2 linked regions of the Mytilus edulis genome follow. The protein of the gene in region 2 interacts with the protein of the main gene of each other region in a pairwise test. Links are inferred from orthologs where the notes say so. Each region holds a gene or a part of one and is shown on either strand. Other genes may lie near its edges.

Evidence for each region.
Region 1: the proteins of cytoplasmic protein NCK2-like (region 2) and sorting nexin lst-4-like interact in a two-hybrid assay, tested with the Drosophila melanogaster proteins (2 studies listed by BioGRID). The link is inferred for Mytilus edulis from reciprocal best matches to the Drosophila melanogaster genes dock and SH3PX1.

The regions. Positions count from the first base shown.
Region 1 is NC_092350.1:70,776,199-70,793,711, forward strand, and holds the start of sorting nexin lst-4-like, read left to right. Parts: upstream 1-9,659; 5' UTR 9,660-9,776; coding exon 9,777-9,797; intron 9,798-11,842; coding exon 11,843-11,929; intron 11,930-17,513.
Region 2 is NC_092346.1:20,311,865-20,329,735, reverse strand, and holds the start of cytoplasmic protein NCK2-like, read right to left. Parts: upstream 7,421-17,871; 5' UTR 7,091-7,420; intron 1,156-7,090; 5' UTR 1,134-1,155; coding exon 120-1,133; intron 1-119. UniProt on the Drosophila melanogaster protein: Adapter protein that links cell surface receptor tyrosine phosphorylation to downstream signaling pathways and effectors, many of which are involved in regulation of the actin cytoskeleton.

The sequences.
Region 1 (17,513 bases), on a different chromosome or scaffold from region 2:
AACTGACAATGTGGTATGGCCTTGCTCATGTTGAAGGCCGTATGGTTGTTAATTTCGTGGTCTTTTGAGTGGAGAGTTCCCATTGTCAATCATACCACATCTTTCTATTTATAATAAATGCATTGCACAAAATGACTAAAACCACTAGACTCCTATCATTTTCTTGATTGCTTAAAGATAGATATGTTATTATTCTATTTTTTCATGATATATTCATCTTTTGTCTTAGATTAAAAATAAAACTGTAAAAGAACCCAGTCATTGCCCCCTATCCTCTCGGTCCCAGTTGAAAAATATCAATATGTAGATCAATTTAACAATTACAGTATGCACCAATTTACTCAATGTTCTAAATAATAATATGAATGGTACTACTTTTTACTGCATAAAATTTATTTTACAACTAAAAGGTTTAAAAAAAATGGACGTTCATGTACATTTTGAAAGTCAGCAGCCAAGTTCACACATAAAACATTTCTACTCTTATAATTCTCAACTATTTTTTTGTGCTTCACGTATGTAATAAAGAGCATGCATACGTCCTCTCAGTACCGGAGCAAGCATTAAGTTGTTCCCTTGTCCGTCTATAAATACGTACATACATTGTAGGTCCGTCCGTCTGTATGTCCCAAAACTGGTTTCCGATCTCTAACTTTAGTTTGCCTCAACCAAATGTTAAGAAACTTAATATACACAATGCTTATCACCACAAAACACAGGTGAAGTTTGATTTTGCTGGCGTCACTTGATACTAGAGTTATGCTCCTTAACAAAAGGAAAAAATGCTGAATTTTTCGTTTCCGTTTTCCAACTTTAGTTTGTCTCTACCAAATGATATAAAACTTATACACACTGTTCATTACCACAAAACACAGATAGAGTTTGAATGTTGATGGCGCCACTTTTCCAGTTCAAGAGTTATGTCCCTGTACTAAAAGCAAAATTGCTGAATTGTTCGTTTCCGTTCTCTAACTTTAGTTTGATTCAACCAAATGTTATGAAACTTCTAAACAATGCTTATTACCACAAAACACAGACCCAGTATGAATTTTGGGGATTTCTTTTATTTTTTCTGTTCTAGGGTTATGCTCCTTTACAAATGAAAAAAAAATGCTGATATTTTGTTTCCGATCTTTAACTTTAGTTTGTCTCAATTCAATATTATGAAATGCATATACAATGATTATTGCCACAAAACTCAGTTTAAGTTCAAATTTTAGTAGCGTCACTTTTAAAGTTCTTGCGATATATCTCTGTATAACTTTATATGTTAGCGGGGGAATCAACTGAGTCCATAAACTCCATTTATTTGAGTTAAATTATTCAATCTTTGGGTGAAGAAAAAAAACCGGAAATTAATTGAAACCTGACAGTCATACATAACATTGTCTATTCATCAGATCATGCACAATTGATTTTTTTTGAAAATAACAATAGAGAAAAAAATAAACATTGTGAAAACGGGGGGGGGGGGGGATTATTATACAGTATGCAAAACTAAAAAATATGTATTTGCTGTCTCTCTTTTATATGAAAATACATACTTAGATATGCATAAAAATTATTTTATCTGATTTGTGATGGTTGCTAAGCAAGATATTATATCATGGATACGTTCCTGTGTAACCATGGAAACACTGAATTAAGAATTATATATTAGAATTGCACATCTGCACTAAAGGTACTCATAAATATCCTTTAGTTCCACGTTTCAAGCTTAAAAATTACACTCAGTGATACTAAACATCTTTTTAAATGTTCTTCAGCTGTTAACTTAAAACACACTATGCGTTGCTAAGGAAAACTCGGGTTGATTTGACGGATTATATAGATATAAAATCTCTTTTTTTTCATGCAAACATTGTTTCTTAATATATCAATATAGGAGGTGACTTAATATGAGTTCTATGAAAACATTTGAATTTTTTATTTTTTTTATGGATAAAATTGGATAAAAAAGTACTTTTGTGTGATCACTAGGCAACATTGTGGTTGCTAGGTTACTATTAAGAACTTTTTAAAATGATATACCCAACAATAGTAAATATTCAAGTGTTTGGTAACACATTACCATTCATTTTAATAGATTCAGAAGTCTTTTCCTTAGGCAATTGCAATAAAGATGAATATTATAGTTCGTTTTATAAAACCCGTTGCTAGGCAACTAAATAATCACATAAACACAAAATGCTCAACATTTTTTTAAGTCACTATGCATAGACTAATGATGGATTGAATATGAAGTCATTTGAAGAGGGGGCCAAAAATGCACCTTATCATACCTTGTCCAAAACGTATAGTCGTCAATTCTTTTTTTCAATCGGTCAGTGTTATTGTTAAAATATGGCAGGTAATTAAAGTTCGTGTTTTGAAGCCGAAGTTTAACGATTTTCACCCGTTTGTCAACAATCAACAAAAAAAGCATAGATATTGACATTGTTTAACATGCACATTCAGATAATAGTTTATTTTAAGGACATCCATGCGTATTGTGATCACCGGATTTTTACGAGATGGGTCACGCTGAGGTCATTTGCATACGAAAAAATATTTCCGCGAATTGCTTCCTGGAAGCAAGCAATTAAAATAAAGTAAACTTCTTCTAAATATGAACAAATGAAATAATTTTCTTCATAAAAAAGTATATGTAAATAAGTTTTATAATGAAAACTATCCATCGAGTTATGAAAAACATATGCATTATTTTTTTTTAATTTGAGGTTTCTTATGACTTTAAGAATTCAAGATAAGTCGGGTTGTAAATTTTCACATCCTATGGACAATGAACAATAACAGATGAGTTTAGTTTAAACATATTTTATTCATAGTGGATTGGGAAACAAGTTTTGCAACTTATATCAATCCCTTTCCACTTTGCGGGTGCGAGTGCTGCCGCTTATAGCGCCATTAGCATACTCGTTTTCGAAATCTACAAGGGTGTCTTTAACCTGCAAAATATATGGCTCTCTCTTAACACTGATCAGCCATTCATCATCCCCTTCCGACGGACTATCATCGTTTCCCCAAGACCATACTGGAATATGGTGTCACTTGAAGGAGAGCCGAAAATTCTGTCCCCGAAATTTTCATCCCAGATGAGTGATCAGATACACTACTCTTGAAAGATTGGGCATTCTGCTGGAGCTGTACACTATCAAAGATTTAAATATGACAGAAATTATCTAAGAGATTGCAATCTTACTAGACATAAAAAATTTCATTGTGTGACCCCCTGTAAAATAAAATTTTGGATGGCAATCCCCCCAGCTGTGTGATATTTTGGGTAATGACCCCCTCCCCTAAAATTAACCAACCCCCATAGCTGATAAATAATGACTGTTCCATAAAGACTTTTTTGTTTTTTCTTATTGCCAAAAATTGGACTTTTCAGATATTGTTTCATATGCAAAAGCTATCATATCAATGCTAATGATAAATAAATGTAATGTTTCAAATGTACATACAGTACAATATTTAGTGATTTTTGGTTTGTTTCTTTTATATTAGTCTTGCTACAATGTAAATCATCAAATTGTATAGTCGACGCCCGGGGAATTATCTTCAATAATTGAAGGAAACAGCTAGAAACTGAAAGAAGAAATATTATATATCATATCATACAAATATAAAACATGCCATCTGGCTTTGATTATAACTATCTGCAAAGACAGGATACCAGATAGCAGAGAGATATATGTATGGAGAGTTGATATCACATCTTCTTATTTCTTTCGAATTATATGTCTTTGTCTCTCCTATATCTAGGTATAAACGTTAGTATCTTTTCTAGCCATTTCAACTGCTCTCATCCAGAGATTGTATTTATATATGTCTCTGCATGGTTTATGTTTTTATAGTTTTTCCCTGTAACTGAATGTATAATTATATTGATATAATTTTGTTTTTGTTTATTTATATGCTACCTGTACTTAACTAAATTATCGTATCGTCTCCTATATCCTATCAAGGATTTATATAGTAAGAAGGTCTTACTGTATCCTTGATCCTATCAAGAATTTGTATACTATACAAATCTTTGATAAGACAAAATCCTCAGGACCCCCCAATATCCAATGTCCATTAGAGTTATCCCTCTTGTAAAATTTCTCAATATTTATAGATGGCGTATTAAAATCTGCAATTTGTCATGGCAGAGAGCACTGTAAGTCACTTTTAAGCCATCATTTAGGGATAGAATCACTGTTTTGATTATTTTTATGGTCTCTGTGAGAAGAAAAGTCACTATAATCCTTTGGAATTAATTGTCAATCTTAAAAGTCAACAGGAAATATAGTTATCGTCAAAAGAGATAGCTGAACCCGCCCCCGTCCGATTTCAAAATATTTAATTGACATGACAGTTCATGTGATCATTATGAAATTTAAAAAAACGGAAATTTGAACCAAATCCATGGTTACAAATACATTTTGAAGAGGTTTAATTTTGCGGTACTAATATGACTAATTTTATAGTGTTGTCCGATTTAGTTTCCTATTTCCATTTATAAATTACCATGGTAAAATTTAGATTTTCAGAGACCCATAATATTTTTCTTCTGAAAATTGACAATAACTGTTCACACGCACTTGTTTATGTCTATGGGGGTTTACTATTCACACTCAAAAATCGTATGAGTGTGCACGTGGGATAGTAAAAACAGTATACTTTCGCACCCTACACGTTTGCACCTCCGAATTCGCCTTGGAAGTCCTTTCGCACCATACACGTTCACACCCAATTTGTATTAGAATCTCAGTTGAATTGAAAGATATTGTTTTATATGTATATACCAAATAATTTTATTTTCTTGAATAAAATTTGAGGAATTATCTTATAATTTTTTTTTTATTAATTTGATGATTAATTATTAAATTTATGTTAATTATGTATGATTACTGCTAGTTGGTATTTATTCACAGCCTAATTTGGTGTTATTTTTAGTGTTAAAAAAGTCATGATTGTTGTTTTTTAACTTGCTTTGATGCATAATGTGTTTTAAGTAATAAAGAATGGAAATTGTAAAGAACTGCATATATTTAGCTTGGTATGACTAAAACTTTGAAGATTTTATATAAAATTTGATAAGTTTAAAAACTACGTGCAGGGAAAATATATGTTGTTTTATGAAAATATACAATAAATGTTTATGTTAGCTGCTTAAATGTATATATTTTAAAAGATAACGAATGAAATAACGTTAATATAAACAGTAAGTTCGTGCGCATGTGTCAAACATATTTTGTGCTCATTAGGACACGGCTTTGTTTACAAAGCGTAATAAGGACGTCATATTAGAATGTGCGATTTGTATTTTATTGAAAATGATAGTAAAAATTTGGGCGCGAATGTGTAGGGTGCCAACGGACTCTGGATGAGAACATTCAGGGTGCGAACGTGAAAGGGGTGAACATAAATGGGCGCAAACGGACCCTGATTCAGTAAAAAACCCATTTAGGTTCTAAACCATTGCCTGTGTCACTGTCACATAGACATATTTACACTTGTAGGCAAAGTTGTTTGCTATTATGTATTCAAGTTCCATTTATTTTGACACCACAATTCAAAAAAGTTGTTGTCACAATTAAAAAGTGGTTGATGCTTGATGTCATACGTACGGTTATTTTGGAGCAGATCTAAGAGGGGGGCAGGACCTTTTTCGGGACGTCAGTATTGGGTCTTTTTAAGCTTGGGATTTCAGGATTGACCCTTTCGGGATCCTGGATTTTTTTTTCTCGAATTTCAGGTTGTGGAGATTTTTTTGAAAAATTTGGGACCTTGTGATATCATGTTTTTAAGCCCTGGATTTCGGGATCAGTACCCCTCCAACCCCCTCTCATCTAAGGTCATTCAGAGACCAAATTCAGCTAAATATAAAAAATGTAAATATATAGGTTTCTTGAAATGTCATGCAGCCAGCAGGGTGGATTGTATATGAACTGTAAAATGAGGAAAAATCTCTCTTGACTAGACTCGAAATGGTCATAAAATTATACACTATTTACCATGGAAATATTATGGACAATGAAGTTGTTCTGTAACTTTTGTTCTGTTTTCATGGTTTAGCAGTATCCCTCCACTATCATGACTATCTTGGGGAACCATTGAATACAAACTGATACACGATGTTTATACGGTGTAACCATAAAACTCAGATCAAGTTTGAATTTTGGTGGTGTCACTTTTACTGTTCTAGAGTTATGCCCCTTTGCAAATGGAAAAAAAAATGATTTTTGGTTTCCACTCTGACTTCTGCTCTAAGTTTAACGTTAGTTTGTCTCAACCCAATTTTATGAAACTTATACACAATGCTTATCACCTCAAAATACAGATCAAGTTTGATTTTTTATGGGGCGCTTTTACTGTTTCAGAGTAACAAAAAATGTATACCCCTTTACAAAAGGAAAATAAAATGATGAGTGAACTTAAGTTTGCCTCAACCAAATGTTATGAAACTTATTCACAGTGCTTATTTATATAACAAAAAAAACCAACAGATTAAGTTTGAATTTTAGTGGTGTCACTTTATCTGTTCTAGAGTTATACCCCTTTACAAATGGAAAAATTGATGACTGTTTGGTTTCTGTTCTCTGACTTTACTTTGCCTCAACCAAATGATACGAAGTTTATATACAATGCTTATAACCACAAAATATAGATCAAGTTTGATTTTTAGGGGTGTCATTTCTACTAACATGACTAATATAGAGTTATATCCCTTTACATGTATTTTTCGTTTTCGTTCTCTAACTTAAGTTTGCAGCAACCAATTGTTATCAAACTACAAAATAGTAACTACTACAAAATTCAGATAAATTACAAATTTTGGTAGCGTCACTTTTACTATTTGTTCTTCAGTTATGTCCCTTTAAAACTTTATATGATATGCAAGCAATAGAGAGCCATGGTGTAGTGGTTAGTGCATCGGACTACTAACACAAAGGTTCCTGGTTAGATTCACGTTCTGGGATGAAAATTTCAGGGACTGAATTTTCGGCTCTCCCTTGACACCATTTGCAAGTATGGTCTTGAGGAAGCAATGATAGTCTGTGGGAAGGGGACAATAAATAGCTACCCGTGTTAAGAGAGAGCCATATCTCTTGCACGTAAAAGTCACCCTTGTAGATTTTCGAAAAAAGAGCAGGCTAATGCTGCTACAAGGCAGTACTCTCTGACACCAGCAAAGTGGAAAGGGATTAATTTAAGTTGCAAAACTTGTTTCCCAATCCACTATAAATAAATATGTTTAAATTAAATTAAGTTAAGCAGTATAGCATCATGTGAGTCCCATGGAAACATTCCCCTTTTATTTATAAATGAGTTCAGAGAGGTGACTCCAGTAAATTTAATGTGTAAAAAAGTCAGAGTTAGTTCTGCCCGAAAAGTAATTTACACATTTGAACATTTTTCAGCACAGAAGCTATGATATACATGTGATATATATAAATCCAAATTGAGCAGTACATACAATAACATATATTCATGATACATTTATATCTATTTTCAAATTTTAATCATATATATATATATACATACGTACACAACAATGTAAACAAAAATCATGACTTGACTAAAAAGGTGAAAGTATATAAAACAGGCTATTATTTGAACTTGGAATTATTTTTAATTATGGAATTTGCTTGATTTCTTGTTATTGAAATTTTCAATAAATTCCACGTTTATTCTGTACTGAAATGTTCTGTGCTGCCCACAACACTTTCTATTACAAAGAAAATAGTATTTTTTAATAGAATGTACTGTGCCGCGCACAACACTATCTAACCAAAATACATTGTATGGAAAGTGTTATTAACCGCTCAAAAGATCATAATACCAAATATTACATGGAATTTATAAAAAAATTTAATCACAAAAAATTAGGCAAATTCCATAATTAAAAATAATTCCAAGTTCAAATAATAGCCTGTTATAACATTTAACAGGTTTAAATCCCATCATCTGACGAATCTTAGCAATACTGTTATTTATCTACTGAATTCAACTTTTTCCTGACCTGTTGATTATTTTCATTTAAACAATGTGTGATTATGTTTGACCACTTCTTCATTGGTTGAAATTCAATTTTGGCTTCAATTTTGTTTACTTTTCGCTGAATTTCCTATAGTGATATCATGTTATAATGATGATACATGTACTTATTATATATATCATTCAAAAGAAGGATGAAGATTGTCTGTTTACTGTATAAATATCAATATCGAGAAACTGATTCCTGGCACTAACAAATCTCATGCAATACGATATTTATCCACCTTCAACAGATAAATATCTCGTTGAGCTTCACTATTTAAAATTTGAAAATTTAACTGTTTGACACTGTTTGAGGTGATAAATATTGTATCACACTTGATGCTGAGTTGTAGAATCTATTCTTATCATGGTTACATTTAAATGCTATATACATGATATACATGTTTATATGTATGTGCAATCCAAAATCAAAGAAGAATCTTTAATTTGGCATGAATTGATAGAAAAATTGGTTTCATTCCTAGTTCATTTGTCATTTGTCTGGGGTCAGAATTGTCCAGTTCTTATAAAGTTAAATATTTCATGTCTAGCTTCTTAAATATATTTTGCTAAATAAATAGACAGTCACACAATTATGTTTTAAATATTAACATGATTAACCACATTTTACAATGTTTTAAATCCTATTGATTTATGCAATATGACATGTTTTCTCATCATGCTCAAGTGACAGAATTTAAGTTTGATGCTTCAGAAAGTGCAAAATGTGATATTTCTTTGTTTGTCTTAATCATCATGATCATGTTAACACAAATCATGTACATTTAAATCAATACTTTATTTAGAAAAAAAGTCCTTTTGTTGTAATTATAGTCATTTCTACAAGTGCCATATAAAGCATCCATAACAGTTCATTAATTTAAAAAATCATTATATTAAGTGCTGTATGGTTGAAATAAGGATGTGATGAATTCCCCCTTATATGAGTGTCTGGATAGAGTATACATGTACAAATATTAGATAATAACCTACCAATGATAAAAAAGGGCCCAAAAAATAAAGAAAAGAATTATTAGTAGGCCAACAAAATAAAAAACTAAGAGCTAGTAGGCCATTAAAATAAACAAAAGAGAATTAAAACAGGGGTGATAAACATGATTAATATAAAAAACAGAGAAAAATGACATAAGAAATTAAAGAATACAGTTCTGAATGACATGAATATAGGACCCCATGTCCAGACTCCAGAACCTTATAAATATATTTCTGAAGTTCCTGGTTTAATCAAATGCTAACTTGTAAGACTTTAACATTACATTTTTGAATCTCTGACAATTATATAGATAATAAACTATGTATCAGGATTTTTGTTCCTAATTAACAGGTTTAGGTGAAGCCTTGAAATTCTTATTTCACATCTTTCAGTATACTTTTCTCAACATGTCTCTAGCCTAAGGTTAATTTAAACCTAAATAAATATCACTTATGCTTCATCAACCAACAGGTAAACAGACAAAAAAATGAAATGATTAATTCTGATGAATTACGATAAGAACATCTTTAATAATCGGGTAAATAAACCCTTGTTACTGACCGAGACGTTAATTTGAGTCATTCAAATATCACCTCAGTGTATTTATTACTAATAAGGTGGTTCTGTTTGAATTAGTTAGTATAGTTTGTGACTCATGTTTTGATCAGTTCAATTGGCATGATTGGGGTGATTTTAAATTTGTTATTATTATTCAATTTTACACGAAAATAGGAAGAGTGATTTTTATTGGAAAATGATTCAGAAAGGAATGAAGGTAAAATATTATTTGTGTGAAAAAGATCAGAATGATTATCTATATTCATAATTGATTATAGACAATGATATTTGTATGTATAACAATGAAGTATCGAATATATTGAATTTAAAGCTACATGTATACATTATGTTAATATGCAAGAGTATTTGTAAACATGGAAAGTATTTTGGCAAGAAACAGTGAGACTATTTCTGCATATATATTTATATGTGATAAATTAATATTGACTTGTAAGACATGTAAGAAAAGTCTGCCAATGCATATATTACCAATAAAATTTCTGGATCCAACAGATGTATCTATGTTTAAACGAACCATACAGAAAATAATAAGTTAATAATTTACATTTATATATGTAACATGCAAATTGACAATTACATTTTATTGCCTTTCTGAAAAGCAGATGTTGAAAATATAGGATTTCAATTTTATTCTTTAAACATGTTATTCAAAATCATATGACGATTAACATGATTAATATAAAGTCAGCTGAAATTTTCAATATCGCCAGCTTAAAAAAGACCTTTTCCTGTATATCATATAAAAAAGAAGATGTGGTATAATTGCCAATGAGACAACAATCCACAAAAGACCAAAATGACACACACATTAACAGCTATAATAGGCCCCGATAAGACAATGTAAAACAATTCAAACGAGAAAACTAACGGCCTTATTTATGTAAGAAAATGATCGAAAAACAAATATGTAACACATAAACAAACGACAAACACTGAATTACAGGCTCCTGACTTGGGACAGGCACATACATAAATAATGTGGCGGGGTTAAACATGTTAGCGGGATCCCAACCCTCCCCCTAACCTGGGACAGTGGTATAACAGTACAACATAAGAACGAACTATAAAAATCAGTTGAAAATGGCTTAACTCATCAGATGGACAAAAATATGTATATTTTGATCTTTATTCTTATAATCATCATGGACAATTTTTACAATGACACCAAATATGTCATATGAAACAAGCTGTATCAGATTTAGTTACATTTCGTGTATGACTGAAATCAATTATGTTATTTGTACTCCACCCCTTTTTATTCGATTAATTCGAAAGAAATAGAACATTTGAAAGGTTTATTAGCGGATACAGGACTTTTGTATTAAATCAATTAAACATTAAATCCAAGATACAGTTATTTTTAAAGATAAATTGCTTTTTTCATTGCTATTTTTAGTGATTTAAACATTTTACAAATTGAAAAAAAATCTTAATCGTCTTTTAAAACGAAATGAATTAATGACTGGCGAGGATTTTAGATTGAAGTTAAAAAAAATGTCCCATAATCAATATTGGTTGATTGATATTGAGTGATTGCTATTTTAGAATGATTGCCTAATTAACTTGCATTTTACCAAACTACAGTAAAACCTACAAAGTATACCATGTTTACATGGAATACTAACTGGAACAGCCTAAATCACTTGCATTTCATCAAACTTACAGTGAAACCTACATTGTATACACTACATACAACAATAACTGGAAGAGCCCACTAAACTGGCTTTTCTTCAAACTTGAGTGAAACATATATGTAATCACTGTATGTGTTGAAGACCAATTGGTGGCCTTTTAATTTGTTTTTTTTCTCTTTGACACATTCACATTCTCCATTTCCATTTTCAATTTCATTGTATATATATTTGACAATAATACAGCAAAAAGCTTAACTTCATGAACTTACTTGCATTCCATCAAAATCAGTGAAACCTATAACTGAAACCAGTATAAAATATATCGGTCTTATATCAATATTAGTAATTTATCTGGTATAATTAAGCTCCTCTCTTTTTTTCTTTACAAAATCTTTAATCCATCAGAGGTATGAGTTTATTTTGGTTTAATCATGTTAATAGATACTCGGTATCAAAATGATGTTGATGTATAATTTTAATACCTATAAAAATTTCAAAATGTTGGCTTTAAATGTTGATCAAATTTAATTATATGAGTTATCTCCCCTTGTTTCTTCTACTAAACTATGCAACAGTTTTGATAATTATATTTTTTTTCTATTTTCAGGTAAAAGTTTTATATGATTTTGATGGTGATCCAGATAATGGAGAATTGTCTGTCAGAGCAGGGGAAGAATTAACAGTTACAGCACAGGTAAGTAGATTTAACAAAAAAGAAGGGGAATGGACAAAGTTTGGGCAGTGTGATAGCTGATCATTTACTCATTAGAGTTGGGGAGGGGGTCGGAAAACTTTGTTTCTGCTGATTATTCTTGTAAAGTACATGTATAGATCTAAGTTATCATGGGTATTGGTGGCTGAGTGGACTGAGAAACATGATCACTAGCATGTCAACACTGAGTTTATGATTTGCGCCTGCTTCCTTAGTCATGGTCATTGAGTTTGAAACTCGATCCTTTTTGTGAACATGGTAAAAAAAATTGATGGTGAAAGTGTTTTACTCCAATCTAAATTTGCAAAGTTTTTTTGTCAAAAATCATGGTTTTCTCTTGGTACACTCGCTTTATCAACTTACTTAAACTCACTGTGACCGTGATATAAAGAAGATAATTTAAAGAGATACTGAAGATAATTTAAATTTTGTCATCATCGAAAAGGATATTATAATTCAGCCTTCTCCTTCTTTAAGTTTCCAACTATATAAGTTGAACTATGAAATTTTAAAAGCTGTACTTGAAATTGTTGTCAACCGCGTTCCCTGAAAAAAGGAAAAGTATAAAATACAGTACATAGTTATTTTACAGATGCACGAAGTTAATATTTTCACTATAGACATATCTTATCTAGTATACATGATATACATGTGTCCTCATTGACTTTATACTATACCCCACATTTCCTTCAATGTATATTGATTTTATATATAATATTTTATATATCATATAGACCTTTTGCCAGGAACAGTTATGTTTTTGATACGAAGAAAAGTAATTTTGTAATGATGTAACAGGAAGCTGGCTTATCCTTTGTTTTTTTTTTTTAGAAAAGATGAAATGTAAACATGGATGTACAAAAATCTGACATCCAATAAGCTAGGAAATGCATTAATTAAAAAAATCAAAATTATTCTTTATGATCTTATATTACCCAGTTGTACCTATCCCCTGAATGTATAAACCAGATTTTGATATACATGTATTCATGGTATAAAAAAAAGTAAAATCACAAAAATACTGAACTCCAACATGTTCAAGGAAAATTCAAAACAGACTGTGAGTGAGTCCCGTAAATCTAATGGCTAAAGAGAAAAATCACAAAAACACTGAATTTTTAAAACAGAATATGTCCCTAATCAAATGGCATTTACCAGTCATTGTCTATTTCAAGAATTAGATAATAAAATGCATTCACTAGAATTAGACTCAGATTTCTTTTGAACTTTTAAACACCAAATTTATACACATTAAACAGAAAATGAAAAGATTAAAATTTATTTCATAGTACATGCTTATTGAATTAAAATCTTGGCTAAAAAACAGAGTGCTATATTAGGGTTTCTTATGAGTTAAAGCTTTATAAGTTTATGTTCCCTTATTTCACGGAAAATATATTTATCAATATTTTTACCAAGTATAATATATATCTATATGTCATTATAGAGTGTTTAAATTATATCTTTCTAGATAAGTAGCAATACAGATTCGTAGTTTCCTGTTCAGAACAGGAATAAAACACTTTTGTTCTGATTAAGTATAGACTGAAGTACTTGAAATATAGAAGATGACAGTTGACAGCCTCTTAGTACATGTATACTGGTACTATCCACGCTTATCAATCTTTCCACTTAAACCATGTTTTTTCGTATTTTTTTTTTTTTTTTAGCTCACCTGCTGGCCTAAAGGGCAAAGATAACTTCACTCATAGGAGTTATTGACCTTAAATTTTACCTTTTTTAATCCTTTGCCTATTATCTTAAACAATAAAGTCTCATGATCAAAATCATCAGTAGAACCCTTGTAAGAGTTACTGCCCTTTGATGAAGATTTTTATCATTTTTTTTTATGTTTTTGCCTTTTATCATCGTTTATCCTTAAAATTATAATAGCCTTCTTATAATCATCAACATATTGCCAATGAGACAACTATGCACTAAAGTTCAAATGAAGTGGATGTTATTGTTTTATAATTGATTTTAATAGCTTTATTATTTACTAAAATTTTATTGAAATAGGGATTTCATAATCCAATATTTGGAAGGGTCAAATTAAAGGATGACACTTAACAGACTTAATAGATGTTATCTTCAAGTGATTTGTATTGGCCATTATCAGGATTATCAATAAATCAAACATTGAATCAGAGAAATTAAATAATGTAAATCAAAGTGTAATAATCTTTCGAAAATAAAGTAAAATGTATTTGAAATAATATACAATAAACTATTTATAGAATAAAAAAAGTTTCCTAAAAAGGAATATATATTGCACTGAGTGTCATGTAACCTAAAAGTTGATTGTGTTACTATAAAATTGCTACATGTAACTTTACTTACATTAGCTAAAAGTGTTGCTAAAGTGTAAATCAGATAAAACACAGACTGGTAACTTTGAAACATCTAAATCTCAGAAATTATTATGAGGTTTTTATTAATGCAAATAATTCAACAGTTAGTATCTCAATTATCTGTTTGCAGATTTTCAGTAAATCTCAATAATTAATATGGCAATAAATATGCCCATTCTTCAAAAAACGAATAATACATATGCACGAAATAATTTCTGAATTTTAGTAACAGTACAAATTCATGTATTAACACCTGCATGGATTGAAAAAATATCTCAGATTATAGCAACCATGTCATAGATGACAGTTATCATGGTTATAGGGTGAAATATCTATGTCATGTCATGTCAGTCCTGACCACCAAAAGTCAGATTGGTCTACCACTAAGATAGTAGCATTCAACTGAATGTTTGTGGTGGTTTTATGCCTTTTTGTGTTTCCTGGTAATTAGTAAAATTCTAGTTCTCGAAAAGTGGTGTTCTGAAGGATTTGACCACCAAAATTTGTAAAGGACCAACAGAATTTTGGTTTTTTATAATAGAAATAGTATTGAGGACCAGCAGTTATTCTTCAGGGACAACCTTATATATAACAATTTTGAGAACCTCTGCAATGACAGTTTTTATATCAATTTTTGAAATGGAAGTATTATAGTTATAATGTAAATTTTCAAATCTTATTTTCTACTATAAATATATCGCAACAAATAAATTTAGATATGAGACCACCTAATTTGTATTCTTGGTGGTCCAAATACAATATTTTCAAGAACTTTGTCATGCAAAAGGCCATTTCAGAATGTAAAGGATTATGGGATATTTGATTGTTCATATCCAAAAATAAAATAACGTCATGTCATTGGTTGAATTTCAATTGTTTAGGACGTTGTTAGCCAATCACAAGGCTTAAGATTTGTACATTTTTGAAAATTCTACCCAGAATTCATTTGATTCTGAAACAGCCAATGAGTTGGAGAGGTCACTGGGGTCAGTTTAATTGGCATAGAATACTGTTCCATTTTGTACCTTCTTGACCTTCAATGACTTTGGATCTGCGTTTTCAAAAAGTATAAATTATTGAAATTATAGCTTGTTAATACAGTATGCAAATGATCTCTTTCTTCAAGCTATATGTGTTACTGCGTAGAAATCAAATGACAACTTCTCATAGTTTTTTAAGTTTTGTAAAATTATGCATTATTGTGATCGTGATAGCAGGGTAGGAGGTATTAGCATTGATTTGAGAATAATTTGCGTTTCATTGGGGTTCTGAAATGCTATAAATCTTAAAAGAATTGAAGAAAATTACCAGTTTATGAAAATAGAATCAGGACATATACTTTTTATCTATGTGGGAAAAAGTTTGTTTCTTTTGTTGACATACAAATGTATCAGATTATAGGACACACACACATGATTGGATAAAAACAACATATTAAGTGTGAGAAAAGCCAGATTCAGGGCCTGGGGCCCAACATCAAACCAGATATCATTGTAAAGGTCATTTATTGGAATGTTGTTATGATTAAATGTGTTGATAAACTTGACATGAATTGATATCACCAAAAAAGAACATGAAATATGTTAATTTTGTTTTTTTCCCGAAATTTGACAAATTTTTATTGAAATTAAAATTTCAGGCTATTGTTTCTTACATGTCAGGCAATACATATTAGTTTTAGTTTTGGGTTTACAGATTAGAGGATAGATATATTGGACAAAAAGTTCAAAATAATGGTGAAACAAGAGAAAATAGAAAAATGATAAAGCCTAAGAGAAATATGGGGTGCTCAAATATAAAGAATAGAGTGAAATGGGCAAAATAATTAAAGAAATAAAGAAAAAATAGTTAAAAATTAAGAACACAGAAATGAAGGACTCTAATTGTGAACCTGCAGTATTACAATTAAGAATGTTTTACAGAATATCAAATTGAAAGTTACTCAAAAAAGGCGATACTAACATTCACCTTTTAAAAAAAATTTGAACTTAACTTTGTAGAGATTCTAGACCCTCATACATGTAGTTACATAATGATTATTACATGGTTTACTTAATAAATTCTTTTCTTGACAATGAGTTTTTATCATGTTTATTCACCTATTGAACATTCATGACATGAAGAAAATAAAGAATCATTTTTTAAAGACTAAAACCTTTTATCATGTGTATTGATTTTGTCTGGAGAGGAAAGAAAAAAATCAATTTTATGTTTTTGAATTAAAAGCTTTCAAGTAATTTTAAACATTTTTACGGAAGTGTTTTATGATTTGTATTGGACTAATTTACGTTTGGGGTCAATAATTAGCTCATTGTAGCTGTTTTATGTTTTCTATACACGACAAAATCATCAGAAAACATTTAATATTTTCCCTCTAATTGTACTGATTATAAGCTTGATTTAACTTATAATAGTTGCTCTTACTTGACCTATACCATAAAATTGAGAATGGAAATGGGGAATGTGCCAAAGAGACAACAACCCGACCATAAAAAAAAAAACAACAGCAGAAGGTCACCAACTGGTCTTCAATGTAGCAAGAAATTCCCGCACCCTGAGGCGTCCTTCAGCTGGCCCCTAAATATCCTACCACAAAGTAGAAAATCTATTGAAAATCTATATTCTTTAGATAGGTAAAGACTATAGGATACTACAATGAATGGTTTCTTTTCCCCCTCCTCCTTCCCTGTTTTTGGGGAAGACGGCTTCAAGCCGTCAATCCCCAATGGGGTTGACCAGAGTGACATTCCCTCACATCATTCATTTTGTTTTTATAGTGTGGAAAACCCCCCAACAAATCTTACTGAGAATGATGAGATGGGGAGACACAAATGAATAAATTGACTTTAAACACTTTTTTACACATTTCCCTTCTGTTTCTCTCGAAATTATCGTATATTGAGCTCTCCTTTCATGCCTTTACACTACTTAAGTTTTTTTACAATCTGGAAAAATCAGTATGACGAGATATTTTAAATATATCCAACCTACATTATATTTTATAGTGACGTCATTGTTGGAATGCCACACTTCGCATCAGCAGGGATATCCTTCACTGGTTATTTAAATCATTCTCAAAGATTGTGCACTTATTAAAAAAAGTATTTTTTAAATTTAAACATAATGATGTTTGCTGTAGATGATTCAAACATCAACATGCAATACTTTAATTTGTAGGTCAACAACTTCCAAAGTAAACAGGAAGTCCGAGGGGC
Region 2 (17,871 bases):
AACCAAACACTTTGGAAAATATGTGTTCTCATTAATATTATAATTTGATGTTTTAGGCAAACCTAAATATCCGATTCCTCATGTAGACAGACACATTAAAAACTAAGACAAATACTAACTGCAGATTCACTATCACGTATAATGAAATCTCCTTCCTGAGCAAACTTTTTCAAAAGTTCCTCGCACTCTTGTCGTGTTATTTTGCCATAATACCAGTCTTTATCTGCAAGTGGACCAGAAACACGAAACTGTTTTCTACTTCCTGGACCGACAACTGAGAGATTAGAAGTGTTCGATAGACTACTTGTTGATTGGGACTGTGGTGTTGAAGAACTGTGGCTATTGGCAGTTTCACAGTCTTCTAAAACAACCTGAACATAATTTTGTGGGACCAGCCCGACTAATCCACGTTCATTCTGAGCACGCCACCAATCAGGGTCTTCTGACGGTTTTTCTAAAATCACAAGTCGCTCTCCCTTTTCAAACGCCAGTTCCTCTGGTTGCGTACCAGTAAATGCATAAAGGGCAACAACAGTTTCTTGCTCCTGAATTCGAGGTTCCAACATTGCTGCTGTTGAATACTCCACGGGACAACTATTTTCATTTTGTTCAATAATGTCAACATAATTTGAAGGAAACCATCCAGTACTATTATCCTTCTTACGACCCTTCCACCACCCATCAATTGACTTTTCTAACACTGTCACTTGTTCAGCTTTGGTCAATCCCAATTCATCCGGCCTCTGAGGAGTATAATTAAATTTGACAATGGAAGGCTGAGGATCACAAATCGTAACGTCACTACTCGTACTATTTTGATCACTTCCTGTATCTCCGTTGCGGCTCACCACAGGACTATGAGAAGTTAATTTTGTATCACTTTTATTTCTTCTCCCAAGAGTTGCTCTGAGACTAGAGAAAATCTTTGAAGGTTTGGACTTTTTAACATAATTTGAGGGAACGAATCCCGATTTGTTACGATTGTTTTGCACTTTCCACCATTCCCTAGTGTCATCCAACAAGACCAGCTTTTCATGTTTCCTTATATCTAATTCCTGTGCATTTTCGGCCCTGTAGTCATATTTTGCAACAACGACTTGCTGACCTTCTTCATTCATGGTTGCTGCTGGCATCCGGACGTTGTGCTTCACATCACTGAAATGATAAATATCCAATTTAATTTCTATCCCATTTTTATAATGCTACTGTTGTCATATAAATGGATACTAACATTTTGCAATACCTGATTGACCTAGGTTCATATTTTGTGTGTTTTGTTTGTTACTGCTGATTTTGAGTTTGTTTTTTTTTTTTTTTTTTGGGGGGACCAGTTTCTGTTGTATACTGGTAATTCAACATTTATTGTTAATTTATCTGTCGCAATAGCCACAATGCAAGAAACAAGTTATATTTATTGTTTATTGTTTTTGCCCAACCTTTACTGTGAGCACAAAAGATTTTTCTGGAACTGCCACTTTTAACAAGTGGGTGGATTAAACTAGTCTTGTGTATTTTCAATCCTGACACGGTCAGTGACACCTACTAGTCTATTATCACAAGTGGCATACCAAACAATAGCTTTAGCTAAAATAAATTGAATATATGTGTATGTAGTTATACAATTTATAAAAATTTGATTGTCTGCAATAATTGCAATAATTGCCTTTAATAACCATGTGAAATAACTGTCCATTACACATGTTAAATGCACTATTAAAGCAAAAAAATCATGATATCTTCACTCTGGGGGTGGCATAATTATTATCTATATAGATATAAGTATGTATAATAAGATATATATGTACAAGGGGGTTGACCTAAATTCCATACATCAACATTTTATGGGAAATATCAATATTCATACACTATTATTTGGTATAAAACTGTAATGCTTAAGTATTAAATCTTCAGACATATATGTTAAGGGGGTTCGCGGGTCTAAATCATTTATATAGGATTTCTCTATATTTTTCTATAAATGAACTTTATCTTATAGTTAATAGAAAATTAAAATAAAAAAGTGGGGTCACCGTTCATTTGCGCTCACAATCTGCCTTCGAAAGAAGCATACATTTTTGTAAAGGTGGTTGAAGTAATAGGAGAAATATAGGTATTATCGAAATAAAAAAAGAAATTTATTACAGAAATCGCTCAAATTTTACAATAATTTAGTTTAAGTACAGCTTATATGGAAATTATATTAAAAAATATATGTCACCGATGAGTTAAAAAAGATATATCAATTTTAAAGCCAAAAAAGAGCATTTTTCCACCAAAGGGAGATAATTTGGAACTTTTTCAATGATGTACACATTTTAAATGTCATCTGGGGCCAACACGAATTGATTGTTTTGGATGATTTTTGTACCATATGATAAAGTAACAACTACAAAAGGTAATAAATAAAATTTGTAGTGAAAAACAAATGTTTAATTTTTTCTGAAATTTTTATACCCTCGAGCCTCCTTAAATGAAAATAAATGACATTAGATTTTATATGAGAAACCATAATTTTACATTATTTTTAATCTATTGATTTCTAGTCTAGGACAGTTTCTGTGTACATGCATGTCTTCTCTATCTGTCCCTTCTGATTTAAACACTTCCAAACCATATGCTGCAATTAAAAGTGAGCATTACATGCATGCATGTACAGGATTTTGGTAAAGAGAAAAAAACAACACTTCAGCAGCAGTTGATAAATTATTGAAATGTCACAGTACAAGGGGTAAATCAAGTTTTATATTATCTTGTTTTGATCATTACAGCCTTCACCATGTTCACCTTAACTTTTGAGTCCACAAGCCAGAAGCTCAATTTGTTGAAAATTTAAGTTGGATTCTGTAGGCTTGTAGAGAAGAATTCACAAGTCAATGCAGTAGGACTTATGTTTAAATGTGAAGACTGGATAATATTGTCAGAACCTATGATTTAATGTTAACAAAAATAAATTTAATTCAATTGGTCGCCTTTACTTTTGAAGCTTCACCTCAAAACTTCGCGATTTTTTTTCTTTTTCAAACCACTCGTTTGCCCAAATTTTGGGAGTGGAAAAATCCAAAGAACAAGAAATTAAATTGGTGTGGCCTAGAGAATGGTTGCAAATAAATTAACAAATCAGCTGTTAAATTAAGACAAATGGATGTTCATGTTATCACACAGCAATAACAGTCAGTTAATATATACTACTCCTTTCCTGAAAAACATAATATGAACTCTGCAGTGTGGGTTTTGCTCATTGTTGAAGTTGTATTGTATTCTATAATTGCTTTTATGTAATTTGATCTGCAGTGGAGAATTTTCTCATTGGAAATCATACCACTGTGGCACATCTTTTTTTATATCAACTGAGCTGTTACAACAGCATTTAGCTAATGAAATAAACATCATTGCTCATTGTTGAAGGCCATACAGTGACCTATAGTTGCTAATTTCTGTGTCATTTTGGTCTCTTGTGGAGAGTTGTCTCATTGGCAATCATACCACATATTCTTTTTTCTTCCTCTGGCACATGAATCAGTCAACTTTCTATAAAGCTACAAGTCCCTTTTTCTGACATGAAGTTTGTACATGTACATGATCTATCCATAAACAATTCCATTATACAGATGCAGGTGTCAGACTGTCAGCAAACTCTTAATTGCAGCAGTACATTTGTGAAAGGGGTTATAAAGGACAAAATTGATAACATTGTAGATATGAACCCATACAGTACTATGAATCAGAGTAAGCTGGACTTTACATGCTGATACAACAATGTACCAGTAAATAAAAATTTCTGACCGTGTCTATATTTTCAATTCTGGATAAAGCTGTAGTACTATATTACTATTGATTAACTCTCCATGAAAACGTATACCACTGACTAACTGTTACAATTAATTTCCATTCCCCTTGAAATTTTATGATGAATAGACGTCCACTGACACAGCAGGTTCGTTCACTGACATTTAATAAATTACAGCATAAAAAAAGATGGAGACTTTTGGATAAGAATATATGTACACACGTGCACATAAGATTTTATCTTTATTTTTGTGTTTTCTACTAACCGCACATTTTCTCTTCAATTACCAACTATCAGGTGGTTGAATTTAAAGCTTTAATCATTTGCACTATTTCTCTCCAAGATTACACTGTGATGCATAGTACAGAAAAACAGGAAATGAAACAAGTTTTTATCTGTTTCTATCCATGATTGAAATTCCAGCATATCACTGATAAGAAATTTGTCTGTGTAATCAAATACTGTTACTACTCCAGTCCTGCTGTGATCAAATATTCTATTAAAAACAACTAATGTTATGATGGGTTAGAATTCTTCAAACAGAGATGTATTTTTATACTATTGGAAAAGAAAAAAATGCAGTAAAAATGTGTTTTTTTTTTTCAAAGTAGCGTCTTTACAGTGAGATTTGTACAAACTACTAGCACAAAAGTCTGCAAGCTATATAAAATTGATACCTTCAACTATTGTAAGATATTGGTAAAAGAACACTAAAAGTTATAAAAATATATTTTTAAATAATAATTCGCTAATCTTATTAGTTAATTAAGTCCAATAAAAATCTGTAAAATTGTTTACCATTTCTTTTTATCTCCATGCATTATGATTTGGACAAGACAGCAAACTGATCATGATATTTGAACTTATTAGTTGATTACATATACATGTCTACTGTATAGGTTACACATACATGTATATTGCAAAATAATATCTAAAATTAAACAAGACCTGTTAATTTCTTCACTAAAGGTTAGACATTTTCCTTGAGGCTCTTTTTCAAATAAAACCGAAGATAAGACACATTCTAAGAAAATTTCAAATTAAAAGACTATTTTCTATCAAGAACAGTGGTTTAAGCCATTCATGCCATTGTAAGCTGAGAAACAGTAAAAAAATTTAATACAAAATATCCATCATTTGTCCATGATCACATCATTTTTCAAGAATTTCAAAATAGGATACTTTTTTTATAACCAACATTTCATGTCCTTCCAGGCTGCCGCTATATCAAGTTCAATAATTGGTTAAGATGTTGCTTGTATTGTAACAAATGAAGTTTTACATGTATTACCTTTAAACAACTTCAAGAAAAAGAAAAGAATAAAAGTGCTTTTTCTATGATAAAATCTCGAGGATAAAATAGTCATTTAATATGATTCTTTAAATTTCTTAGCTTCTACCCTCAGTTTTCAATATATGTGTGTGTTTTAAAATTTTCTACAGAATACAAAAACATTTTCATGTTATGTAGCTAAAAATAAATTTTCATCCATGGATATCCTTGAACAGATATTAAAACCTTACCTACTGCATGTATTGCTACATGTATAGATACTAACAACAGAAGGGCCAGTAATTCCTGGTACAATAGTCTAGTAACACACTTTTATGTTATATCTCTAATAAAATCTGTTGATACATCATGCAATAGGGGATCAATGAATTACTGTCCTCCTACCATGTGTAACATCACCAATGCAACTTCAAATGTATAAAAAAAAGACTGTAACTGAGAAAAACAACACAGACTTTGGAAATAAAATTACCCAGATAAAAAAACAAAAAAACTAACATGACTAAAGCAAAAGCTTAAATGAACACCTGGTAAATGACAATAAAGACAATACAAGAGGGAAGGAAGGCCCTTTCCCTTCAGCGTCAAATTGGTTAAAATTTTATTGTGATTCGTTTAATTATCCTTATCATGAATGATTCATTAGAAACCCCAAATAATAATCTGTTACCATTATTATTCATAAACAGTGAAAGGTTGGTAAATTATTCTTCTTCTTCCTCTTCAGGTATCTTACCCTTCAGAATTATAATGATTACTGACTGCAATCATGTCAATGCTCAATATACAAATTGTAGTATAATACCATTTAGGCACTACTTTATTTTTAGTTAAAAGGTCCTTTTTTACTTTGATCAGCATTTGTATTAGATTTGGGATTCTTGAAATATTGTAGCCATGAGTATCCTTGAAGAGACAATAATTGGGACATTACATTTGTACCATTTCCATGTATGATGTACGATGTAGATGTACATTGTATGTTATCATGTGGAGCAGGATCTCCTTACCCTTCCGGAGCATCTGAGATCACCCCTAGTTTTTGGTGGGGTTCATGTTGTTTAATCTTTAGTTTTCTATGTTGTGTTCTGTGTACTATTGTTTGTCTGTTTGTCCTTTTCATTTTTAGCCATGGCGTTGTCAGTTTATTGTTGATTTATGAGTTTGACTGTCCCTCTGGTATCTTTCGTCCCTCTTTTATCAATGTTAAAGTTTTTGGCGAACAGGAAGTAAAACATTGAAAGAACTGCAAAACATGTCACACAGTAGTCAAGATAGCATTATCAGATCATTGAAGCTTAGAGCCAAGTTTCAAGAATCTATGACTTGTACAAATATAAAATTACATTGTATGTATTTGGATCTGGTGGTTGCTGTCAGCCGAGATAAATGTTGCATGATCTTACAGATGTCTAGGAAGGATGCAGAGGTAAATCAGCAATTCCAATTTCTTTGAATTTAAACATATAACTACATTGTATAAGTGCATGGAATTTTTATCAGAAACATTTTTGCTCGCAAAGGGTTAAGATCCGCCAAAAAGGGTAGAGACGAGGGGACTGGATTGTAACCCTTGGCTAGCAATGATGTATCAGATCAAACTATAAATGGTTGATTAGTTTGTACATTGACATTGTGTGGTCCTGTGTTGGTGTTTAACCTCTTACAAAGTAACCTATTGCTCTAAGTGTGGTGGTGGGACAGTTCCAATTAATAGAAAGTACAAACATGTATGAAACATGTCATTGTACATAATTTACTACATCAAGCTATTAATAGTTTTTAACATGTATACATACACCATCTTTTAGGTTAACACCCAATCTATGGGTATGAAATGACCTGATAACATCTACAATGTAAGAAGTTGAGTCAACAATCAACAGATGACTGGCTTTTTGAGAACATAAAACCAATGTTTTCTACTTGAAATTCATTGTAAACTGTCATAATCGGTTAAAACTGTATATATAAAACATGTCTGCTAACTAACCATCTTAATATCTTACCTAATTACTCATATTTTTAAGACTTTGACAGTTGGCATTGTTTTTGGTTTTCCTTCATTATCTCACTTCATTTATTATTCCATGACCGATATCTCGGAGATGAGTCACCCACAGAACAACGGTAGGAAGTATCGCGAAAAGTCCTTCTGTGTCAGTATTATTAGCAACTTTACTTTCAGATATTAAGTTTTCTATACCCTCTGTTCAATAGTCACTCCAATATTATCTTATATAGATCAAACAAACTTCATTTCTGCGGTATTCTTTTGACAAGTAAAGTCGGTGTTTTGGTCAGCCATGTTGATTAGAGTAAAATAGTCCCACCCATTTAAAGATTCATGCGCGAGAGCAAAAATATCGCGGGAAGCTGTTTGAAAAGGGTGTTCCTCTATTTGCATTTTATTACGAAAAGATGTGGTAGCAGAAATAAATGTTGCTGCAAGGTTGCAAGGAATATGATGAGAAAAAGCTAGATACCAATTTTGATCCATAACATAACGAAATTGAAAAGTGTGGACCCTCATAGATACCTCTCGGCCTTGATGTTGTGTTATCTTTAAAAAAAAAAGACGTTTCGGCCACACTACAAGTTCGCCTACAGGTCGTTTCGTCCACGCTACCAGTTCGTTCACATCCAACAAAGTGGCAGTTCGTCAAGAACCAAAAACGGCTGGCGGTTCGTCTGTCAACGTATATTTGTTCCACCTAACAGAAGTTCCAATGGAAACTTTGTTATAAACATTGTCATAATATCTATTCCTGTTGGAACAAATATTCTATACCATTTATTCCGTTGGGAACATTTACTGTAATATTTATTCCTGTGGAAATAATATTCCAGAACATTTTTTCCCTTTGGATATTATATAATGAAGGAAATGCTATTCCGTGACACGTCTACAATCGATTCGGCCATTCTACTAGGGTGAACTTGCCCCCTTCCTCTTCTTAAGTTGTTTTCCAGTCTTCCATCTGAATGAAGATGATTAATAACTGATGCATACGTGGCCTATTTGTTTTAAAAAAGTTAATATTTTAGTTATATACAAAAAATATTGATAATAATGTTGCAGCAGAGAACAGACGTAGTGATTAAAATTATTTACAGGAGAAGAAGCTATTCAAAATAGAGTGGCCCGGGCAGAGAACAACATATGTAAGCTGCTCTATGAAAGAGTCGACTGTTTTAAATGTATTAACAACTGTAGTTGGTAATAATAGATTCCATTGCGTTATTGACTAATTGTTTATGGGAAAAATGAAAATCTGTACGAGTCTTTAGATGTTTAAATATGTCTGGAGGTGTGAGAATGATGTTTTCTAGTTCTTGAGTCTGATGGTATGAGAACTGTGCTAGATAGTATAGCAACAAGATGATGTGTGATCTTGTACATCATAACCAGGCGTGAACATAATCTGCGTTGGTTGAGTAAATTGTGATCAGTTGAGTGTATTATTGAGCATGTTTGATACACTGCTAGTGGTATGATGCACGTTGCAGGCATACAGAGAAGCTCTCCTTTGGACCATCTAGCTTCGAGATAGATTCTGAAGTGTGGGGGTCCCAAACAGAGCAAGAGTACTCGAGTTTGGGACTACCATCTTGGTATCTCTGGCTGTTAATGATTTGATTTGATGTTTTCAAGTTTACGAGGTATTGTCATCTATATGTTTGTCCCATTTTAGGTATGATTGTAATGTGATGCGGCTCTGCTTAGTATTTAGGCGTGATGATCATGCCTTAGTACTTAGCAGATGTAACAGTTTCTAAAATATGATTGTGAAGAGTGTAATTAATTTTTAAAGGTTGATTGTGACAGAGAGAGCATTACACCTGTCGGGTAGATGGCCATCAGTCAGTCCACTTCTCATTTTGAAGCTGCATCAAGATCAGCTTGCAGATTGAGGCATGCAGCTCTATGGTGGTATGGGATTACACACGCAAAATAGTAGACTTTTTTCATTCTTTGCTAATTTGTGATATATAGCCCAGGTGGTCGTGTGGTCTAGCGGGACGGCTGGCGATTTGGTGTCACGATATCACAGTAGCATGGGTTCGAATCCCGGCGAGGGAAGAACCAGAAATTTGCGAAAGCAAATTTACAGATCTAACATTGTTGGGTTGATGTTTAGACGAGTTGTATATATATATATATATATATAATAAAAACTATAACACAAATTCCCATACGTTTCGGCCATTACGGCCTTCTTCATTGGAATAAATTACAACATTGAAACAACAATTACATCGCTTGGATACATTACGTTATAATAACTTCTATGACGTTCATTTGCCGCGTTTTTCGCATATATCACGCCTACGGTTTTACAATTTATTTGTCCCTGAATGGTATATTCTTTGCCGGTGTTGTCACAAAATACCTTGGTTTCATTTATATGTGAGCATAATGCACAATTTTTACCACATGGTCCACATCCATTAGTTTGTTTATAAAATAGTAAATTATGCTTTTTGTGCACTAAGATGTCTTTTATGTTGTTATCGCGTTTAAATGCCACGATAGGCGGATCGGGGAATATTTTCTTTAGTCTTTCAGATTGATGGAGAATTTTAAGATTTTTTCTATGAATTGAATGTACATTTGGAAGCGATTTATGCGATTAATTGTACAAAATGTGAAAAAGTTATATATGTAGGACAAACGGGTGATACACTATATCAACGAATGCTATTGAACTTTTCAAAAATACGCACACAAAAAACAGAAGATCCGGTAGCCAACCATTTCATTCAGAACAATCATTCAATGACAAATTTGAAAGTTACCGCCATAGAGAGAGTATTTGGGACAGAAGTTTACAGAAAAACTAAAGAAGCCTTTTGGATGAAGAAATTAAAAACTTTAGAACCTGAAGGACTCAACACAATGTATGAACGATAATAAATATATTTATATTAAAAAAGCGAAAAACGCGGCAAATGAACGTCATAGAAGTTATTATAACGTAATGTATCCAAGCGATGTAATTGTTGTTTCAATGTTGTAATTTATTCCAATGAAGAAGGCCGTAATGGCCGAAACGTATGGGAATTTGTGTTATAGTTTTTATTATACAATCATTCAGAGACTTTACATATATATATATATATATTTGCGAAAGCAAATTTACAGATCTAACATTGTTGGGTTGATGTTTAGACGAGTTATATATATATATATATATATTTGGAATTTGGATGTGTTATAAAATATATCTTGTTATTAAAAACAATAACTTTTCAGTGATATTCCTGTCTTGATTTTTCGTTCCCCATTGTTAATTTTCGCTTTTTGGATGGTATTGTTCCTTTGGCACCATCTTTCGGTGTTTATATTTCACAACCAAATCTATATACCCAAGTCTGTTGTGACGTTTTCACGAACGTAATGTTTGTATTACTGGTAAATTATTAAGTCAGGGATTACATTACCACAAATTACTTAAAACTTTTACTAAAGTCTTCCGTAGATATAAAGATTTGGTTTTGAAGTTTGGTCGTTCCTGTAGAAAAAATATTTCAAACAGGATAGCACATCCTCATTTTTACAGAGATGCTGTTTACCGTGCCCGAAAATTTAGAAACGACCCTGTAAAACTTATCGAAAGTCAGACGATCCTTTAAATAAAATTATTTTATTATTCTAAAAGGTTACCAATTCAACACTGTAATAAGATTGGTTTTATTGGTATTAATATTGATTTTGCTATCAGTAAATTAAAAGCAAACTAAATATTATTGTTATATACATAAAATTGAGAATGGAAATGGGGAATATGTCAAAGAGACAACAACCCGACCATAGAACAGACAACAGCAGAAGGTCACTAACAGGTCTTCAATGCAGCGAAAAATTCTCGCAGCCTGAGGAGTATTTCAGATGGCCCCTAAACAAATATATATACTAGTTAAAATTTCAGTGACAATGAACGCCATACTAAACTCCATATACACAAGAAACTAAATTTAAAAATAATACAAGACTAACAAGGGTCAAAGGCTCCTGACTTGGGACAGGCGCAAAAATGCGGCGTGGTTAAACATATTTATGAGATCTCAACCCTCCCTCTGATCTCAAATCTCTAGCCAATGTAGAAAAGTAAACGCATAACAATACGCACATTAAAATTCAGTTCAAGAGAAGTCCGAGCTGTGCGGCATATTTTCAACGTATATATGCCCTGAATTTCTCAGAGTTTAAACTAACACTAATTTTCTTAACTGCCCCTACCTCGAATGAAAAGTTACCACATATTTCAATGTAAACAGTATGCACACGTTATGTTCTTCTCATATATGTTATGATGGTATGATACTAAACCCCTAACGGGAAGGATTGTGCCTGATATTCATATGATGAAATCATAATCTTTCCATCAGTTTAATTGAATAGCAACCTTATTTATGTACAAAACAATGAACGAAAAACAAATATGTAACACATAAACAAACGACAACCACTGTCTACTTTACATACTTTCAACCAAGCTCTGAATGCCCTCGATTTCGCGGGTGTGTTCTAGTCATAACATATATGAGAAGAACATAGCCCGTGACATACCAACAACTGGTTTTTAAATAAATGTGTTTAGTTCCAATGCAAAGACCCTACAAGTGAATCAATATTAACGCCAAAATATGCAATTTTTAATGACCTGACAACAGTATCGTATCTATATCCCTTCTTAATAAGTCTATTTAAAGGTTTTGTTACCTTCTGAGGTGGATACTGACATTTTTGTGCTTTATAACGAATATTTCCATAAAAGATTGGATGTGAAATACCTGAACGTATAAGAAGTCTGCATGTTGAGCTATATTTTCGAATGATGTCCTTGTACCGATGATGTAAATTTTTAGTAAATGTTTTGACTAGTTTGTGATATTGAAAACCCTGGTGTAATAATTTTTCAGTAATACATCTCTCTTTAAAATCTAAAACGTTGTTACATACACGCGGGAATCGTACACGTTGAGATATATAAACACCGTAAGATGGTGACAAAGGAACGTCACCATCTAAAAATGGATAATTAACGATAGGAAATGAAAAATCATCTCTTTTATCATAAATTTTAGTATTAAGCTTTTCGTTAATGATATAGATATCAAGATCGAGGAAAGGGCAGTGGTCATTGTTAGTATTTGCTTTATTTAAAGTAAGTTCAACAGGATAAATTTCTTTAGTATACATACTGAAGTCGTCATAATTGAGAGCCAATATATCATTTAAGTATTTAAAAGTATTATTAAATTTTTATAACAGATATTGATTCGATTGGTCTTTGCTGATTTTTGTTATAATTTGTAACTCATATCAATACAAAAACAGGTCCGCAATAAGTGGTGCACAGTTAGTTTCCATTGGAATTCCGATTACCTGACGATCATCGGAATCTCAAAAGCGAACAAAAATGTTATCCAGTAAAATATACATATTCATGGATCTACAATCTGTCGATACCTGTATCTTGGCATTGTACAAGGTCATGTTTTTGTCTGACTGTTTATGATGTCTTTACACTAAATCGATTGGATGTTGGACGTGTACTGATTGATAATTTAGATGCATGATTTTTTTTTCATTATTTGTAAGTGGTTTTGAACTAGTTGTCATCATTAACTGCGAGTACTCTCAAATCTGTGCTAAATATCTTTTTGTTGTGATATACAAGTACCAGCTGAGTACCCGACCACGTCCACTCTGTGATTTCTTATATGTATTTCTATTTGAATCCATGAGTTAAGCCTTTTTCACCTGATTTTTATATTTCGTTCTTATGTTGTAAAGTTAAACCACTGTCCCAGGTTGAGGGGGTTGCTATGATCTCGCTAAACTGTTTAACCCCGCCACATTCTGTATGTATGTGCCTGTCCAAAGTCAGGAGCCTGTAATTCAGTGGTTGTCGTTTGTTGATGTGTTACATATTTGGTTTTCGTTCATTTTTGTTTACATAAATTAGGCCGTTAGTTTTTCTCGTTTGAATTGTTTTACATTTATAATTTCGGGGTCTTTTATAGCTGATTTTGCGGTATAAGCTTTGGTCATCATTTAAAGCCGTACGGTGACCTATAGTTGTTGATTTCTGTGTCATTTGGTCTCTTGTGGAGAGTTGTCTCTTTGCCAATCATACCACATCTTCTTTTTTATAATCATAGTTTGAAGAAAAGCCAATAATACCATTGCAAAAAAGAAAAACAACAAAACAGTATACAAAACCGACTACAAAGAAAGCTAAAAAAAAAAAAAAAAGACAGAAAACTAACCCAACCAACTGGGGTGATGCTTGTTAAACGCATTTTTTTTTAAAGCGAAGGTTGTATAATATAACTACCGAAACACATGCATAGGTTTATGACCAAAGGTTGAAATTACTATAACACATGTATTAGCCAAACTGGACCAAAAATAATATAGAGTCAACATTACTTGAGGGTACTTCTAGCTTCGCCTTAAGCAATTGGTATTTTTTTAGGAACAACAATCATGCTAGTACTCTCATAACCAGTCAATAAATGTACAGCATTTAATGATAAATCATGATGGTATGCAGATTCACTACTGAGATTCATTCGGGGACTAATTATAATTAATAGCTCTGGAACTTGCAGCTGTATTTAACAAGTGCTATTGTAACGTGTATGTAAGCGTATTTTTTTAAAGGAAATTCAACATGTAAATAGTGCAATAAAGACTTTATTGATATTTTCTAAGGTACTGTTTTTCACCTTTATAAAAACAAGAAGATGTGGTATAATTGCCAACGAGACGAGAGCGCTCAACCCTCCGTAACCTAAAAAGTACATAACATCATTTAAAAGCAGTGTAAGGGAGGTAATGCAAACACAACATTGACAATTACCTCCCTTTCAAATTATGTTATGTACTTAGTAATTGTCCATTTATCAGGAAACCCTTTTTTGCCCCTAAATCCTAAATGGTTTGAGCCATACCCCCCCCCCCCCCCCCCCCCCACCCAAATTCCAATTCTTACCTTCCTTTTTGTGTAATATGTATAAAGAAATAATATTGTATTGTCTTGAGGTGATTAGCTGTCAATTTATTTTTATATTCTAATAATGCTGATGAAAGATATTTAATTTTAGCCATGATTATGTATGTCCTTTTCTATTTTAACACTTTTATGATATACTTAAATGGGTTATTATGGTTGCAAACTTCATTGGAAATTTGAAATGAGATTATGATAAAAACTTGAGGGAAAGAATTTTTATTTGGAAAACTGGGGTTAAAATTTTTTTTTGGGGGAGGGGGGGGAAATCGTCTCAAGATTCAAGAAAATAAAATAAAATTTCTATTTTAGGGGAGGGGGTAAACTCACATCAGCGTAACGTATTGCATAAAATAAAATCAAGTTCTTTAACTACCGTGAGTTATTCTGTGCCAGAAACCTATTATGTGTCAAATTAAGAAATAATAGATGCAAGCTGTATTTTATTGTAGTTTTGACATGGGTAGGCATTATATTCGTGATTGTTTTTGCCCGAGCGAGAGGGAGGGTTAAAATAACAGGAATATAATGCCTACTGATGTTTAAACTACAATAAAGTATAGCTTGCATCAATTATTTCGATTCTAATTTGGACAATTAAGGTAATTTCTACGTCCGATGTGTTTAAGTGGAGGGCGCTTGTGTAGGCTCTTCCATGAACTCCTTTTTTCGTTTGTAAACAAGTAAACGACTGGCAATGTGATTTTCCAGAGGGATGAGATTTGAACAGCCAACATTAACGGTTATCGTATCCACAGGTGCTTGAGGACAGGATCCTGTATGAGCCCCAAATAGTCCCTCCCCCTTTTTTTTTATATATATTTTTTTTAATCATAAATCTCAGATTTTTCTATATATATCCCTTATTTGTACTTATTTGTACCATATATATACTAATATACCATATTTATACTCTAAATATGCATGTTTACTATCAACGTGAATCTCGACTATAGTAAACATGCATATTAAGAGTATAAATATGGTATATTAGTATATATGGTACAAATAAGTACAAATAAGTGATATAGATAGAAAAATCTGAGAATTATGATTTTAAAAAAAAGGGAGGAGGGACTATATGGGGCTCATACAGGATCCTGTCCTCAAGCACCTGTGATCGTATCTAGGTCAAATATGCGGCAACTTAGTCTAATTCAAATTGCAACACATGACAACAATAATAAATGAATTAGTAACAACATGTGCATCATTTAACAGTTTGAAAATGTTTAAAGTTAGGGAGCTACCATTTGATTTTTTAGGGTTGGGAGGGGGGGGTGGTGGGGGGTGGCTAGAATGAAAAATTTTGTCCTGCATTTTTTTAAGCTGTAATGTCTGTCCTGCCTTTTTATTTTTCATTCTGTTCGGTCCTGCCTTTTTTTCTTTTTTTTTTTAGTTTATCCCGACTTTTTTTTTACCTAAATTGTCGTCCTGACATTTTTTTTTGCAAGTGTCTCATCCTGCCTTTTTTTAGTCAAAACTCCTGTCCTGCCTATTTTTCAAATTTCATCCTAGTCCCCCCCTTTTCCCCCCATTTTGTGTTCATTTTTGCTGCAACTGTTCACAGTTGGACCTCTGCGGTCGTATTCAGCTGCGCTCGACGAAGCAATTTATATTAATTAACCTATTAGCCTATGATCAAAGACGTATATTAGATGTTATACGTTCTTGCCTATGATATAAAAAGATAAGATAAGATTATTAGTTTCCAAATTAGGTTCCCAAGGGGCATACACATAAAACAAATATAATCGTTTACAACATACTGTATTGTGCATGACATTCAAAAATACACAAGAACCAATCAGACCTAGAAAAATACCGTGCAAAAAGAAACATCTATCTTTTTAGGTTAGATACTAAAAATCTTTCCTTTCTCCATTACCATCAAAATTTGAAGGCTATTTCCTGTTTGGCGGTAAAATGGCGGATGTTGATGTTTTGAAATAATTTTGATTATTTTTCACATCTTTTAAAGTAAGAGATGTCAAGTAACACATAGTACGTGACACATACTGTTCAAATTTTATTAAGAAACTCTAATCATCCCACATAAATGAATAAGACCATTGCTTTACAAATTTAAAATCCACAGAACGTCGGAAGGCTTGTCAAATTTTTGTGTATGTCCATCTGTGAATTTGTAGATCTGAAAGCTTTGGTATATAAACAACAGAAATGAGAGCGTATCTGGCTTCCTGATTGATAATAATCAATCTGAAGGCATGTAGGATTTAAACGCACAACTGCAATACTGTGTTTTCCTTCGAGTTTAAAGGTGCATATGTGGTGTTCCTATCAACCCCGGACTTTATATACTATTAGAAATAGTATAGAAAGTCCCTTTATCAATGTATGATCTTCCTTAATGATGAGGGTATGATACATCTTATCGCTGTTTCTTCTAAATAATTCTGTATTCTGTAGGTGTCGCTGTTGACACTGGATTGTCTCCCTTGTAAATATTGAATCCGGGTCCGTTCGCGCCCATTCACGTTCGCACCCACTCATGTTCGCCCCCTTTCACTTTTGCACTCTACATGTTCGCACCCAAAGTCCGTTCGCACCCTACATGTTCGCGCCCAATTTTAACTTTGTAATCAAGTAGTATTCTTATAAGTACATGAAGTAATATTGTTTTCATTGTCTTAGCATTTTTTTGTGTTGAATAAATCTTAATCATGTTTTGGATAGTGTAATTTGTTAAAAAAAATAATATTCCTTTCTAAATAAAGTGAGATTCTGTCAACGTTTTATTTTGTGTTGAATAACTCTTTATCATGTTTTGGTTAGTGTATTACTATAACTTTGTTTCATTGACTTGTTTCAAAATGAAGTGAGATTCTGACTACGTTTTTTTTAGTCTTGAATAAATTTTATCATGTTTTGGTTATAATAGTGTATAGCTATAATTTATTGTTTCAGATCAAAGGGACCAAGCTGTTAAAAACAATTATCTTTTGTGTTTTTCATTTATAATTTTCAATCTTTTACTCATACCAAGCTATAAATACATTCAGTATTTACACGAAAGCAATTAAAAACAACGATGATGATTTTCCAATTATTCAACTGGAATTTGAATTAAAATTGGGCGCGAACGTGTAGAGTGCGAACGGACCTTGGGTGCGAACGTGCGAGGTGCGAACGTGTAGGGTGCGAAAGTATATAGGGCGCGAACGGACCTGATACCGTAAATATTTCACTCTGGTAAACAACTCATGACATTTGCACTTAAAAAAATTTAAATATATACATTTATCAATAAATGAAAATTTAGAAGAAACAAAATTATAATAATAATGTTTCATTAATTAAACCGGTATCACTCTCAAATACCCAACAATCGCATTAGAGACGGAGAAATTGATGTTTTTTTCTATTAACAATAAAAGTTTCGAAATCAATATGTAATGATTCTTTGATCCCATGTTAAAGTATATCTCATGTATAAGTTTCTGTCTAGCCTCTTCATAACTTTCACAAAATAGTAAATAATGTTCCACAGTTTCTATTTGACCACATTCACACTTGGGATCTTTGATGATTTTGTTTTATTAATTTTTTAGGTAGTATCCGGATCTTAAAGTTCTAATAATTTTTGCTGTTTTATGATCTGGACAATCAAATATTGATTTTTTGCTGACATTCTGGTGAAAATTGTAATAAAATCTTTCTGTATCAGTATTGTCCCATCGATGTTGCCATTTTTTATTTACTAACATTCTTGCTGCTGTTTTAATATCCTGTTTAGTTACTGT